2 linked regions of the Alligator mississippiensis genome follow. The protein of the gene in region 1 purifies or fractionates together with the protein of each later gene. This does not show direct contact. Links are inferred from orthologs where the notes say so. Each region holds a gene or a part of one and is shown in the gene's direction. Other genes may lie near its edges. The genes, in order: SNX4 and SNX7.

Evidence for each region.
Region 2: the proteins of SNX4 (region 1) and SNX7 purify together in Homo sapiens (affinity purification with mass spectrometry; 3 studies listed by BioGRID and IntAct, counting the BioPlex papers as one, with this or other methods). This does not show direct contact. The link is inferred for Alligator mississippiensis from reciprocal best matches to the Homo sapiens genes SNX4 and SNX7.

The regions. Positions count from the first base shown.
Region 1 is NC_081827.1:243,929,816-243,936,965, forward strand, and holds the start of SNX4 (sorting nexin-4), read left to right. Parts: upstream 1-3,900; 5' UTR 3,901-3,947; coding exon 3,948-4,034; intron 4,035-4,140; exon of another isoform or gene 4,141-4,238; intron 4,239-4,356; exon of another isoform or gene 4,357-4,488; intron 4,489-5,175; exon of another isoform or gene 5,176-5,262; intron 5,263-6,576; coding exon 6,577-6,692; intron 6,693-7,150. UniProt on the Homo sapiens protein: Involved in the regulation of endocytosis and in several stages of intracellular trafficking. Plays a role in recycling endocytosed transferrin receptor and prevent its degradation.
Region 2 is NC_081828.1:36,735,364-36,742,615, forward strand, and holds the start of SNX7 (sorting nexin-7), read left to right. Parts: upstream 1-4,107; 5' UTR 4,108-4,156; coding exon 4,157-4,270; intron 4,271-7,252. UniProt on the Homo sapiens protein: Involved in the regulation of endocytosis and in several stages of intracellular trafficking. Together with SNX4, involved in autophagosome assembly by regulating trafficking and recycling of phospholipid scramblase ATG9A.

The DNA.
Region 1 (7,150 bases):
GGGGTGGGGTGTGTGTGTGTTGGGGGGGGTTTACCTCTACTCCGGGTCACTCAGCACCCTCCCCACTCCACCCCGGGCTCTCCGGCTCTTGAACTTTGGTGGAGGATCGGATGTGGCTCCCAGGGCAAGTAGCTCTGGCCACCCCTGTTCTAGAGGAAGGGTGGCAAAAAAGGAGTGGGCATTACACTGTATATCAAGAATGAATATGGTTGCTCTGATGTTTAGGAAGAAGTGAGATGCAGAGTTGATTTATGTCATTGCATAAAAGTAGAAAGGGAAAAGAAGCAAGTGTAATGTCAGGGTACAGGTCTTCTCTCCACCTGAAGTGGGGGGGGGGGGGGGGGGGGGGGGGGAAGGATGCGGCTTTTATTGAACGACTAACAGAAGTACCCAAAAATAGGGCCTGGACTTTAATTATAGCAGGACAGAGAGCACGTAATGTTCTTTGACTGTGTAGGGGAAAAAGTCATTTAGGAGAGACTATTTGAGATCTGATTCAGACTAACAGCGAGGAACTTCTTGAGAACTGAAAGTTGGAAGGTAATTTAAGTAACAGTGATCATGAACTTATAGTGTTTGCTATTCTAAGGAAAGGAAAGCATGAGAGCAGCAGAATAATGACAATGGGCTTCAAAAAGCAGGGAAAGTAATAGGTAGGGCCTCTTTAGAAGGTAATCTAAGGAATAAAGGAGAGCTGGCAGTTAAAATACACAAGGACAATCTATCCTGAGGTGGAGGAAAGATGGGAAGTATCCTACCTAAGGGACCTATATGGGTGCATCAAAAGTCTATAATGACCTGAACATTAAGAATGGATTGTATAGAAACTGGAAATGGAAATGAACATAAAGGAATTGCACAAGCATGAAGGGAATAAGAACAAATCTGTTATTTTAATAGGACAAATACTGGACAAGACAGAGAAGGCTAAAGTATTCAAGACCTCCTTACTTCAGTCCTCACAATAAAAGACAATTATGACCAGGTACATAACACAATTAATGTTAGCAAGTGGACACAAGCACAGGCCACAAAACAGGAGAAGAACAGTTAAAGAATATTTCAATATGTTAGACAGACAAGGTTCTTTCGGTGAATCCGATATCTTTTATTAGACCAACTTAAATAGTTGGGAAAAAAATGTTAGCAAGCTAAAAAAAAAATATATTTTTTTCCAACTGTTTAAGTTGGTCTAAAAAAGATATCAAATTCACCCAAAGAACCTTGTCTGCCTATGTCCTTAGACCAACATGGCTACAACCAACACCCCTCAATATGTTAGATGTATTCAAGTTAGCAACAGTTCCTGATGAAATTCACTGTAGGATATCTAGGGAGCTGGCTGAAGCAGTTTTTGAACCAGGTGCAATTATGTCCAAGAACTTGAAGACTATGGGTGAAGTCCCAGAGGGCTGAAAAAGGGCAAATATAGTACCTACCTTTCAAAAGGGGAAGAAAGGAGGTAATTATAGATTGGCTAGGCCAGCATTGATAACTAGAGGGATTCAGTAACAATTTTTTCTACAATCAATTTATAAGCAGCTGCAGGACAAGCTGATAAAAACAGCCAGTTTGGCTGTACTGAGAACAAATGGTATCAAATTAAACTAATGTCCTCCTTGGACAGAGTAACTGGCTTGGTGGATATGGGGAAAACAATAGATGTGATATAACCTGATGTTAGAAATGCTTTTTGAGACTCTCCAGCATGACCGTCTTGTAAGCAAATTGGAGAAATATGGTCTAGAACAGTGGTTCTGAATTGGGGGTACACGTACCCCCAGGGGGTACGTGAAGCCTCATCAGGGGTACGTGAGATATATCTCATACATGGTCTAACACAGGTTGAAGGGCCTTAAAAAACATCTTGGCAACTTGAAATTGCTGGGGTTTTACTGCCATAAGACACGCATGCACATGGAAACCAGATATCCTACTGCTGCTCCATGCCTCAACCTCACACCAGAAACGTCACTCCGAACACCCATCACTCAGTCACGTTAGGGTGTAAGTGAAGTCTCACTCTGAGACCGAGGGGTACGTCGACTGAAAAAGGTTCAGAATTGCTGGTCTAGAGGAAGGTGGGCGCACAGTTCTCAACTCACCTTCAGACAGTTGAAAAACCTCACTCAAAGGGTCATTGTCAGTGGTTCGCTGTCAAACTGAGAGGTCCAGTGGCATCCCGAAGATGGCTCTATTGGGCCCAGTACCATACAAAACTTGAATTAATGACCTGGATCATGGAATTAAATGAACACTTACATAATTTGAAGATGTCAGCAAGCTGAGTGGGGTTGTAAGCACACTGAAGGACAAGATCAGAATTCAAAATTATACTGATACATTGGAAAAATAGCCCAAAATTAACCAGAGGAACTTCAGTAAAGAGAAGCGCCAGGGAAGGAAGATTCGCACACACAAATACAAAATGGAGACTGACTGGCTAGATACTAATACTGCAGAAAGGATGTGGGGGATCACAAACTAAATAGCGATGCAATGTGGTTACAAGTGGCAGCCTGGGATGCATGACCTGGAACGTGGTATGAAAGGCAGTGTCTTTGCTATGTTCGGCAGTGCTACCATTTATGTACATCCTCCCCCTGGCCCCACGAAATCCCAGACATGAATCGATGCAGTCACCTTAAGGTAGTGTTGAGCACCCGTTAATAAGCAAGGCTGAGACAAAGAGCCTGAGCGCCATGCTGTGTGAACCAGGAAAAGCACATATCTCTCAGGTGCAAATCTACCCTACCTTCTGCTTGATGTCAGACATATAGAGATACAGGCGTAGAGATATCTCTATCTATACAGCTAGATATCGATGTAGAGCACAAGCTTTCGTGGACCCAAGTGAATGTCATCAGATGCTGTGAAAGGGCTGTAGTACAGGCAGTCCTCGACTTACAACGTTTCGAGTTACAACGTCTATAAATTGACGCCCTGTTTTGACTTTACAACGCCAGTTTCGACGATCCGATGCAATGCCACGCCAGCGAACAAGTTCGCTGCGTCGCTCATCTCCCTGGAGAACGTCTGTCCACGCTTCCTTGGACGCTTTCTTTAAGCAAGCGGACGAGACTCCCGAAAACCTGCAGCCGAGACTCCCGAGACGACTCCAGCCGAGAGCCCTTCAACAAGTCCAACTAAGAGGCCTTCGAAAAGTCCAGTAAAGTCGCCTCAAAGAAGTCCTTCCAAATCAAGATGATTGCTATTTACAGTCTAAATACATGAATGTAGCTATATTACTCATCTATAATTGATCGAGTACAAAATTTGGGGGTATTTTTAGTGAAAACAGGGTATCGGGCCTGGGTTCAGGAACCGATCCTCCATTTATAACATTGTTTCTTATGAGAAAATCAGTTCCAAGTGGTAACGTTTCGACTTAAGACGCGGTTTTCAGGAACCGATTGTGTCGCAAGGCCGAGGACTGCCTGCGTAGCACCAAACATTCGTTACCCGCGAGGTAAATTCGCTCGGACGCGATCGGCAGCGGCGTCGCGCGCTGAAATCGAGTCTCCGGCGCGGATCCACGCTCGCTGCTGGCGCCACGCGGTCCTGTAGTCGCCGACAGCGGCGGGCGAGGACCGAAATCGTCTCGTAAACGCGGTCGAAACGATCAGCACCATCCGGGCCATTTTTTGGTGATGTGGTAAAGCGGGTCCAGTTTCCAGGGGCGTCAAGCGAGGGAAACGCGCACCTCAGTACGGAGGGGCTGTTGCTCGTAACTTTTGCGAGCTGAGCTCTATATAAAGGTTATAAAGAGTGTGTGTGTGTGTGTGTACGTGTACACACACGCGTGTGAGGGGAGCCGTCCAAACCACCGCTTCCCTCCTCCTCCTCCTCCTCCTCGGGACGCCCGGCGCCTCAGGCCGGCGGAGGCGGAGGCGGTGTCGGTGCGGGAGGCGGTGCCGGCGGGCGGGCGGGCGAGCCGGGCCGAGCCCATGGAGAGGAGCCGGGAGGACGGGCCCGAGCCGCCGCCGCTACCGCCCGAGGAGCCGGCGGCGGAGCAGCGCGGCCGAGCCGCAGCGGTGAGGGGCTGAGGGGGGCTGCGCGCCGGGGCGGCGCGGGCGGGCGGGCGGCGCTGCGGCCTAGCAGGCCCGGCAGAGCCCCGTGCTCGCGTAGCGTGACCGCCGCCCTCCAGCCTCCCTCCAGCGGGCGGGGCCGAGGGGGCAGCGCGGGGCCGGCCTGGGTTAAGAAAACAAACCTCGCAGCGAAGTGCCCCGATACCGCAGGTTATTTCCTTCCCCGTGGCTGTCAGGAGCAGTGCCCTGCGTCCCCATGACCCCCACAGCACGTGTGCCAGGGTCGCCTGGTAATTAGCCCCCGCCTCATTAGGGTGCTAGTTGATTACCTTATCCTCCAAACGCTCAGGAGCCCCTGGGACGTGTTACCTCGCCGCCGCTGCGGCGTGGGGAGAAACATTTGAACCGAACCCCCCGAATACGTGGAGCCGGCGGCGCGAGACGGTCCGCGACACAAAGTGTGCGTTTAAAAAGCAACGTTTAGCTCCAAAGACAACGTAGGGGGTGCTCATTATTCTCATTATTAGCGGTTAATTAAAAAATGCAGCCGCTAAGATCATTATTCAGGTTACTTCTCTCTCCGGCTGGCTCCCGACTTTCCGTAGCGTTATCTTAATTTTCCAGGATTTCTTGCTCTTTCTCGTGGTATTGGCTTAAATCGGCAAGTAGGAAGCCTTGATTTTTTGAAAAAAAAAAATATATAAATATGAATTTTGCGTCGCGTTTCTACTCGTTGCCTAGACAGAAGCGGATGCCGTCTAGCCCTTCGAGCGTGCAATTTTGCGGTGAAATTTGGCCGCGATGCTAAACTTGTATTGTGATTCATTAGGAGGACGCGCTGGATCCGTCCTGTGGTTTAACGTACGTTTGTCTGGATTCTCCACTTTTTGTGCACCTTTTCCTGCCGAGACCCCGTAGGAATAGTAGCGCTGTAGATGCGAAGTTGACTGAAGACCGCTGTGGCCGAGAGAGCGCCAGGGGGGCGCTCGCCACTTAGGGGCTATTGCAGCGGGGAGAAGTTTCCCCCTCGGGACTCATTTTAAGGGGGAAGGTGGGTGGCGGAGCACCTCCATCCCGCGCTTGCCACTTTAAGGGCTGAAGCAGGCAGCCTGCAGGTGCCTGATGAGGGTGGCCATTTTCAAACAAAGCCCAGCCAGGAGAGAGGGTAGTCTGCTTCCTGCAGTCGAGGGAGTAGTATCACCCAGCTCTCTTGCTAATCAGGGATATTTTAGAGGTAAGGGTGGGGGTTATGGGGATGGAGGAGGCTTCATTGGTCCTGGGCATGATCTGAAACTGTCCTCCTGCTGGGGTAGGGAGACCTGGTGGTCCTGCCATTGGCAGGGTAGGGCTGCTTTAATGCCGGGATTGAGAGCCTCCCCAGTGTAAGGTGGGTTGGGGTGCCTAAACCCCTGCCGCCACCATCCAGTGAGTTACTGTAACAGCGGAGGGAAGTAGGGCCGGGCGTGCCCATGTGGGGCACCTGAGCCCGTTAGGGGTATAAGAGCCTGGAGAAAGGGTAGTGGGGCCAGGGGTACCTAAGCCTGTTGGGTGAAAGTCACGTGAGCTCCAGGAAGGGGTGAGAGTTGGAGGGCCTGGTGTGTGCTTCCAGAGAGGAGGCTGGGTGCTAGGCCAAGTAAGTTGTGGCCCTGGTGAGAGGGATGAGTAGGTTGTGCCCCTGGAGAGGAGGTTTGGCTTGGTCCAGGTAAGCCTTAGGGCACCTGAGGCTGCAATTGGGCCTCAGGCCTTAGAGGTGGTGGAGTGAGAGCTGCTTTTAAACGGGGTGTCATCATTCCTTAATGGGAATAGCTGGGGTGTGATATCTGGCATGAGAAAAGGATGGAGTTGGCCTAGTGTTTTGTGAATCGCTCAGTCCTGTTCAGGTGAGGGCTGTGGGAGAGGCCTGAAAGACTGTGCCAGGGCTGACTGAGGGGTGCCCGAGGATCTCCATGAGTAGGGTGGTATGAGTATGGCTGTGAAGAGGGTGGTGTGATAGACTGGGTGAGAGCTGGTGGAGTGAGAGGGGTGGTGTGTATGTGGCCTGTAGCAGGGCAGAATGCAAGAGGCTCAACACTGCTGGGATGTTGCACAGCTGTGAGAACCATCTGTGAGGCTTAGGATGCATATAAAGGGAGGTTGGAGGATGTACATTAGGCCCTTGTTAGGCGGGCGGCTGCCCCGATAACTAACAACTTCATTAGTTACCACCAAGGTGTAACAGTGGGCGGCTTGCCCAAAGACAAGTGGGTGGCCAGCACTGACTGGCTGGAGGGGAGTTCCACATGTCACAACAGCTGTCTGGCTCCTGACGCAAGAGCAGGCAAGGGAATTTTGTATGTGGAAGTATGGCGAGACATACAGGGCATGAAGACTTAAACTCAAGAAATGCATATATACTTAATTTTGCATGCTGGGTAGTACTGTTGATCTCCTTAGTAAGACAGGTCTCAGTTCTGCAGGCTAAGTAACAAGGGTGGGGAAAAGAGGAAGGCATAGTTAACAAATCAATTTCTATGTAATGGATGTGATATGCAGCCTTTCTTTTTTTAAGATGGAAGACTGTTTATTGAAGAAAATAGAAATCAGTGTCTCAGAAGCAGAAAAACGGACTGGAAGAAATGCCGTGAACATGCAAGAAACCTACACTGCTTACCTCATTGAGACAAGGTACCTAACAGTAAGCTGATAATGATAATAACATTTCATTTTAAACTTCTGGTTAGGTTCAAGCACAACTTGAGTGAGAGAACTGAATTGGTTTCCTGTTTGTCATGCCAAATCTGTCTATTAAAAAAATAAATAAATAAATAATACAACCTCTTCACGTGACTACATGATAAAAAGAGAGAGATGCTCCAGATGCACAACTAATCCTACTAGTATATGCTGTATCTAACTGTTAATCCTGTGTTCTTTGGTCCTTGAAAATTATGTCTCTGAAGGGAGTTACAGACTTGATCTATAAGCAGTCACTCAAACTTTAAGCCCTTCTACACCTGCAGGTCAGGGTGCAGTGGGATCTAATATGCAGTCCACACATTTGAGCCTCATGGCATGCCACAAATGCATGGCAGGAAGCATGATTGTGGGATTGTACACTGTATCCCATTGCTCCCACTACTGGG
Region 2 (7,252 bases), on another chromosome or scaffold:
ACCGCATGGCTGGGCCTGCATGGGTTGAGAGTACAGCCAGTGAGCTGCTGGAAATTCCATTGACAACTGCTGTGTAAGTTGATGCTTCTCTAAATTTACTTTCACTCCTTATTATGTGACCTCCTTTTTGAGTGATCACAGCAGGGATGTAGACAGCAATGGCAATATGGCTTCTGCTTTTCTAACAGTAAGTCCTTGAGATGATTAGAAGTCCAAATAAGTGTATTAAATACAGCAAGAGTGCAATTTCCTAGAGTGAAGTACAATGAATACCTTTTTCTCACAGATTGTACTTCAAATATAGATAAAACAGAGAGAGATAAGCACTACCAGTCAGGAATCTTAATACATGTCTCAGTAAGCTTGATTAATAAGATAATAAAAAAGCTATAATAAGGGAAAAATCCAATTAAAGTAACTTGTGAGACTTCTCTCGCACAGAAATAAAAAACCAAGATCTGTAAAACTTTGAAAAATTGGAAAGATACAGATGAGAGCCTTAGCATTTGAGGCTACAGTATATCAGTTTTATCCTCTCTTTGACTGAGTGTTCCTTAGTTTATTGGGTTTTTCCTCTGCTGATGTGTTCTTTCCTAGAATTCTTGTTCTTTTAAAATGTATTTTTCTTGTTTGTTTGTATTTTCTCTCTGCATAGCATCTGAATATAAACATATTAATAATTTTAGCACCACAGAGCTAAAAGAAGACCAACAGGTTCGCAATATAATGTTTTGTATTCACAATACGAATATAAAGAGGGCAAAAAACTTTTGTCCACTACTCAGATTAAACAGAAGTGATCAGATGATTGGCTGCGCAAAGCTTATCACTGGTGCATGATGGCTTTCAAATGAGCATCCAACATATTTCTTAGCTTTAATTAAGAGCTGGAGGATTAGTGACAGATTAGGGACAGTAGAAGAGGTCAAGGGCTGGGAGGCTGGTTAGGTTGTTGGACAGAAGTAGGAACGGAAAGGGCTTTGGAGCACCAGAGTAAAAGATACTCCTCAAGAGTCCTGAGTCTGCACTTCTCTGCTGTCTGCAAACAGCTGTGAAATTCACTGGAAAAGTGCATATTTTATTTCCTTCTAGTGGCCAGACCACTATTACTGCTACCAGTTACTCTGTTATTTCCATGGTAGAGCAGCACTTTGAATAGAAAAGTGATAACATTAGTTGAAAATGAATATTGATCCTTATACTAGAATTGCTCAGGTTTTTTTTTTTAAGTCAGGAAATTATATTTCAAACCTTGGTTAAGTTTATAAATTCAGAAAGTCCACAATTAGGAAGTGATAGAATTAACCTTAAATCAGGTCTAGGTAATATTTATTCAGCCCTTGTGTGTACATCTGATGATATTGGTTTTGATTACATAGTCACATGTTTTTCCCTTGTTTGAATGAAGTTCAAGTAAGTATCCAATTTTTTTTATCTGTCTCATTTAATACATGACCCAAGACCTCATTTATTGTGCAGCACTGAATACTAATGAATTGCTTCATGGGCTATTCTTCATTGCTTCACAAATGTGAATAGATTACTTTCATAACACGCCTCTGGGAGTGGGGAATATTATTATTCCCATTTTCCAAGCAGGGACTGAGGTACAGAGAAGTAAGACCAAAACTGTCCATTGATTTAGGGTTCCCAGCTGCACGCATCTAGTGCCTTAGGGTGTGTGTAGATGAAACGGGGGCCCTATATTGAAGCGGTGGGTTTTTAAAAACACTGCTTCAATTTAGGACAAAGTAAACCCCTGTGTTGTGTACACCTGTATCTTACCTGTCTCTCTGGTGGCAGAGAGGGGAAGGCGAGCTGCTGGCAGGCAGAGTGGTCCCTGGGCTGTAGGCGGGGGGTGGGACCCTGGTGCTTTCTTCTGCGGCAGTGGTGGCCCCCCCATCCCAGGCAGCACCCGCCCGCAGGTGCCTGGCTCAGGCGGTCCTGGGGGGCACTGCAGCTGCGGAGGGAAGGACTGGATTCCTACACAGCCCATGCAGACAGGCAGGCTCCAGTGGGGAAAAAAAAAAGATCAGGCTGCTGCTTTTTTGTTTTGTTTGGTGGAGCCTGCCCTCCCGGGCTGCTGCCAGGCTGCCTGCACAGCCCCTGAACTGGATGGAGCCTGGTGCTTCTCTCCACAGCTATAGGGCAAACTCTTTGGAGCTGTTTTAGTTTGCTGCACCCTAAAGTCATTTAAGGCGCATTATGCCACTGAATGTACTACAGTGGCTGGAATTAATGCAATTCCGGCAGCAATACACTGTTGACATGTGCAAACACCAACACCATTAAAGCGGTGCCAAAGCATTTAACCCACTTTAAAGTGTCATGCACACATGCTCCTTGTTTCACCTACACATGCCCTTAGAATTTTATACTACATTCTAGGTTTAAAACACAACTCCCATTGAATTTAGGTATGCCACATTGGACATCCAGAAAATGTGGTGCACAAATTATGATGGCCAGCTGTGAAAAGTTTGGTTTAATGATTTGCCTGACATCAGACAGAGATCCTGTGGTTCAGGCAGAGAGAGATCCCAGTTCTCCAAGGTGGCATTCAACTTCACAAATAATACGAACATCCTTTCTTTTCTTCCAAAATCCACATGCATCTTACCATCTCTGCAATAAACAAGGCAAATTTTCTACAGATAACAGCCTCATCTGCTTCATATTTTGGCTTCATTTGCAGAGAACCATCCACGCTTTGCACTGAATGAGGCAAGAGTGCTGTGGAAAATTTAGTATACAGTCATATAATTAAAGAACACATCATAATGTATAAGCACAAGGGTGATGACTTAGGTACGGTGGGGCAGCCTTAATACTGGTATCTTCTAATTTTTGAATACTTGACTTTGCAACTTTAACATTTTTAATGTCTTTCTCTGGATGTAATGTATTGGTATGTGAAAGTTGCAGTAGGTGCTATGAAGTGAGTCTGTGACCCAAAGACAATCCCTGACCTCATAAAGTCAATGAATGCGCCTTCTTTCAGGGTCAACAGAAAGAGCAATTAGGCCCTTTCATTAGAGGAGACAGCTACAAACATAGCAAGACTATCCAAGGGATATGACAGGTCAGATCCAAGCCATATATTTTATGATTGCTAATGCAGAAGCCTGTAGATTAGTTTCACAGCTGCGTGCGTTAGAGACAGTGAGGCAGAGCAGCAGTGGTGAACGTGCGCGGGGGAGAAACAGAACATAGGCACCCAGCTCACTTGGAACGAAACTGCCTGCAGTCCTCTGCGCCTGTGAAGCGGGACTTTGTGTACGTGTTTCTTCAGTAACAGAACTGCCCTAACAAATAGCCCTGACGTAGGACCCGCCCCCCCCCCTTCAATTCATCATTTTGGCCAAAAGAGTAACTAAAAGTGTGTGTGTGTGGAGTAACTAAGGGTGCGTGAGTGCACACGTGTGGAGTAACTGTGTGTGAGTGCGTGTGCGGAGTAACGGTGTATGGATGCATGTGTGTCTACTCGAGGGTAACTGTGCGTGTGCGTAAGCCCCTGAGAAACTGAGAGGGAGAGAGAGAGACACACAGAGTGTGTAAGCCCCCGAATTCATCATTTGGGCCAAAAGAGTAACTAAGGGTGCGCGTGTGCCTGTGTAGGGAGTACGTGCACGGTGTGTACACGCGAACTTTTGAACAAGGTCAGCTGAGTGCAGCCCAGGCAGGCCCCGAGAGCAGCGGTTCGCAGCCCGCCGCGCCACGCACACAACCCGCCAGTGGGGCGCGCTAAAAGATTTATTGTCATTACTTTATATGACAAACTTTTATCATACTTTATATGACAAAAGTTTGCTGGTGGTACTGAAGGTCGAACCGAAACATCTGGTGGCGGTACTGACGGCTGTGTCGTGTTTAGGAGATGGTGCGCAGTGTCAAGAGTTTGGCAAGCGCTGCCCTCGAGCCCCCGCCCCCGGCAGCTTCTCGGCTGCGTTTCCCTGCCCCGCGCAGCTCGCGGCCGCGACCGCGGCCCCGGTCCCCGCCCCCGGCGGAAGGAAGGGAGGGCGGCCAGGCTGGCTCCCCCTTCGGCCGCCGCTTCCAGTCCTGCGCGCTGCGGCGGGGCGGGGCGGGGCGGGCGCCGCAGGCAGCCAATTGGTGCGCCCGGGGGAGCGGAGCGGCCGCCCGGGTTCGGCGGGGAAGGATGGAGCCGGAGAGCGGGGAAGCGGCGCCGCCGCCGCCCTGCGCCGAGCCGCCCGGCTCCCCGGACGTGCTGGCGTTTGACGACGACGAGGAGGACCTGGAGGTCTTCAGCAAGGTAGGGGGCGAGGCGCGCCCTCCCTGCCCTTTGCCTCGCATCCCTGGCAAGTGTGCAAAGCGCAGGCAGCAGCACGGGCCCCGGCCCGGCCCTGGCACACGGGGACACTGCTGCTGCCCTCGGAGAGCTCCTCGGAGCCGGGCCCCGCTCGCCGCCGGCTGCGGAGCGCAGTTGGAGGCGGACACGGTGGCTGGGAGCTGGCGAGGCCGCCTGGCCCGCTCCTGCCTTGTGCCGTCCAGCCCTGCCGCTGCCCCGGCTCCTGTCCGCCGCGGCAAAGGGGGCTTCCGCCCCAACAGCCTGCAGGCAGGCACAAGGCCGGCTCCGCTCACAAACCCGCAGTGCTGCCATGGTGTTTTGGTGGGGGGAAGGGGGGAAAAGAGGTGTTCTTCTCTCACATTCCCCATCGATTAGATACAGAAGGGTTTTGTGGCTTTAAATAGTTTCCACGTTAATCTGTAGAGCCTAGCCTACAAAATATAAACCACACTCAGCCAACAGTTCATTACAACAGTCTTGGAAGGATTGGAGGACAGAGCCAAGATGATCTGGGAACTAAGGAGGGAAAGAGCGTGGCTTTGCAGAGCGTCTCCACGGCCTCTGCCAAGTTCCTTCTCCCTTTCTGCCAGCTAAGGAGCGAGCCCTTGGATGACTTCTCGTCTTTGCTTGAGGTGCTCCCCACCACATTAAATTAAGTAGAGCCACTTCTTCAGTGGCTATTTTGGAAACTAAAAGCCTGTCTCTCAACCATTCCCCTTATGGTGGCATTTGTGGTTGGGCGGCACTCTTTGGTAGATTTGTCCATGGGCGCAAACTCCACTCTCTCACTTTGCTGTTTATTATCATGCAAGCAGTTGGCCTGGGTGGCGTGGGTGAGTCTGTGTTACTATGAAAAGCCTACCAGGTAGAGGCAGGAACCAGTAGGTACACTTCATGGAAAGCCTAGTTATCCTTCAGCCCTTCCTGTACTAAACTTTGTGCTCCTAAACTTCCAGAAGCAATTGATCTGTTAGAGATTTTTGTCTTGACTGCTTGTGTTGACATATCTAATAGGCAACTCCTCTTTAAAATGATCATTTAATAATTTTCAGTAAGTGTAAATAAATAACTACTGGGACTTGTGATTAAGTTACAGGACTTGTATACAAATGTATGTATCTATATTAGACTACTATGTGGGTTTCAGTTATGTAATGTGCCTGCAATATTTAAGCTCTGTAATATGCGCATTTCAGAATAGTTTCAATTTTTTTTCCAATAACAGTTTAAAATGTGTATATTATCTATTTTTCTCAATTTATACACTGATATTTTGCTTTGGTACCAAGGCAATAAATTGATTAAATGTGTGCACACGGAGATACACCATTAACTGTGTTCAATAATCTCAGACTGCAATGGAACCACTCTGTAGGAAGCCAGCATTGCCAACTCTTTTGCTTTTTTATCATTAATCTCTTGATATTTGTTGTCTAATACTCCAGTTCCTGGAGTCTATAATATTAATAATCAGTTGGGAAAGAGGATGAAAGGGTTGAAAACATGATTGAAGTTATCCAAAAAGCTCAAAATCTAGTTTAACCGCCCCCCCCCCCCCAAAAAAAAACCCCAACAAAGCAAATCTTATGATTGAGGCCCGACCAATTTTTCACTATGTTGGTAGTAATAATAGGGGTAGGCATTTGAAAGAGTTTGCAGGCTACTTGCTTTTTAGGGCCTAATTTTGGATTTGGCTTCAAAAAGAGTGGTCCTTTGTGTTGTCTGGGTGCCTGCATACAAGGCCTGAGCGGTAACACCATGACCTTATTTTATTGTACTATGGTTTTGTAGAATCCTTTGTGCTTTCACACCTTGGATGGATACAGTTCTCTTCCCTCTTGCATGAACAAATATTACAATTCCAACCGGTTGGCTTTTGTTGGTTGGTAATTTTTTTTTTTCCCCCCACATACGATTTTTTGTTTTAACTGGTGAAATGCCCAGTGATGTTTCTAAAGTGTAGAAGCTGAAATAAAACTTTAAAAAGAAATTAAGTATATGCAGGTACACTTTTACTCAGCGCATTAATATATCAATCCAACATACCAGAAAGTGATTTTTTCCTTACCACTTAAGTGCTGGTAGAGAATATGCTACTAAATCTGTTTGCTGAATAAAGACTAAAGAAAATAAATGTACATGTAGGGTGACCATTTTTTAGGGGAATCCAGGACACTGCCCTCTTCCCCTCCCCAAGTCAGCAGCATTGTTGCAGGCCAAAGCAGACAGGCAGGGGCACAGGGTACAGTCCAGTGGGGAGGTGGAGCAGCATGGTATGGTGGGTGGGCAGACAGGCACCCCTGCTGCTGTGTGAGGAAGGCAGGTAGGCTGGAGCAGGTGCCACCCCACCCACACATGCCTGGCCTGGCTCCTCCTGAGCAGCAGCTGGAGGTGGGCTGGGCACTGCTCCAGTCCACCTGGCTTGCTCCCGCACAACAGTAGTGGTGCCTGCCCAACCACCTGCCTAGAACATCATGCTGCTCCACCTCCCCACCAGACTGCCCCCCACATCCCTGAGATTCCAGGACTTTTGTTTCAATTTCCACCAACTGGCCAGGACTGTCCCATGAAATCTGAGACTGTCCTGGCCAAATCTGATACAGTATATTGGATGTTAATGTAATAGCCACCTACCCTATGAGCCTCAAGTTTCTAAGTCTACAAAATTAAAACTGAAGTGTCAGATTACAGACAGAAGACATTAAATATCTTTCTTATTTGAAAAGGTTTATAGATTTGCTTACCAAATTTATGGAAAGTAACATTTTATTGTATCAGCATTAGGTTTGTTTTGATTGCATGGATTGTAACCTCTGGATGGAGATTGCAGACATGAATCATTTATGAGTTGTGGATCATAAAAAAAAGTAAAAGAAAAAATCTGATAACACTTCAGAATAATAGCCCAGGTAGTCAGCTAATACTGAGATAGAGTTCAGTGCAATG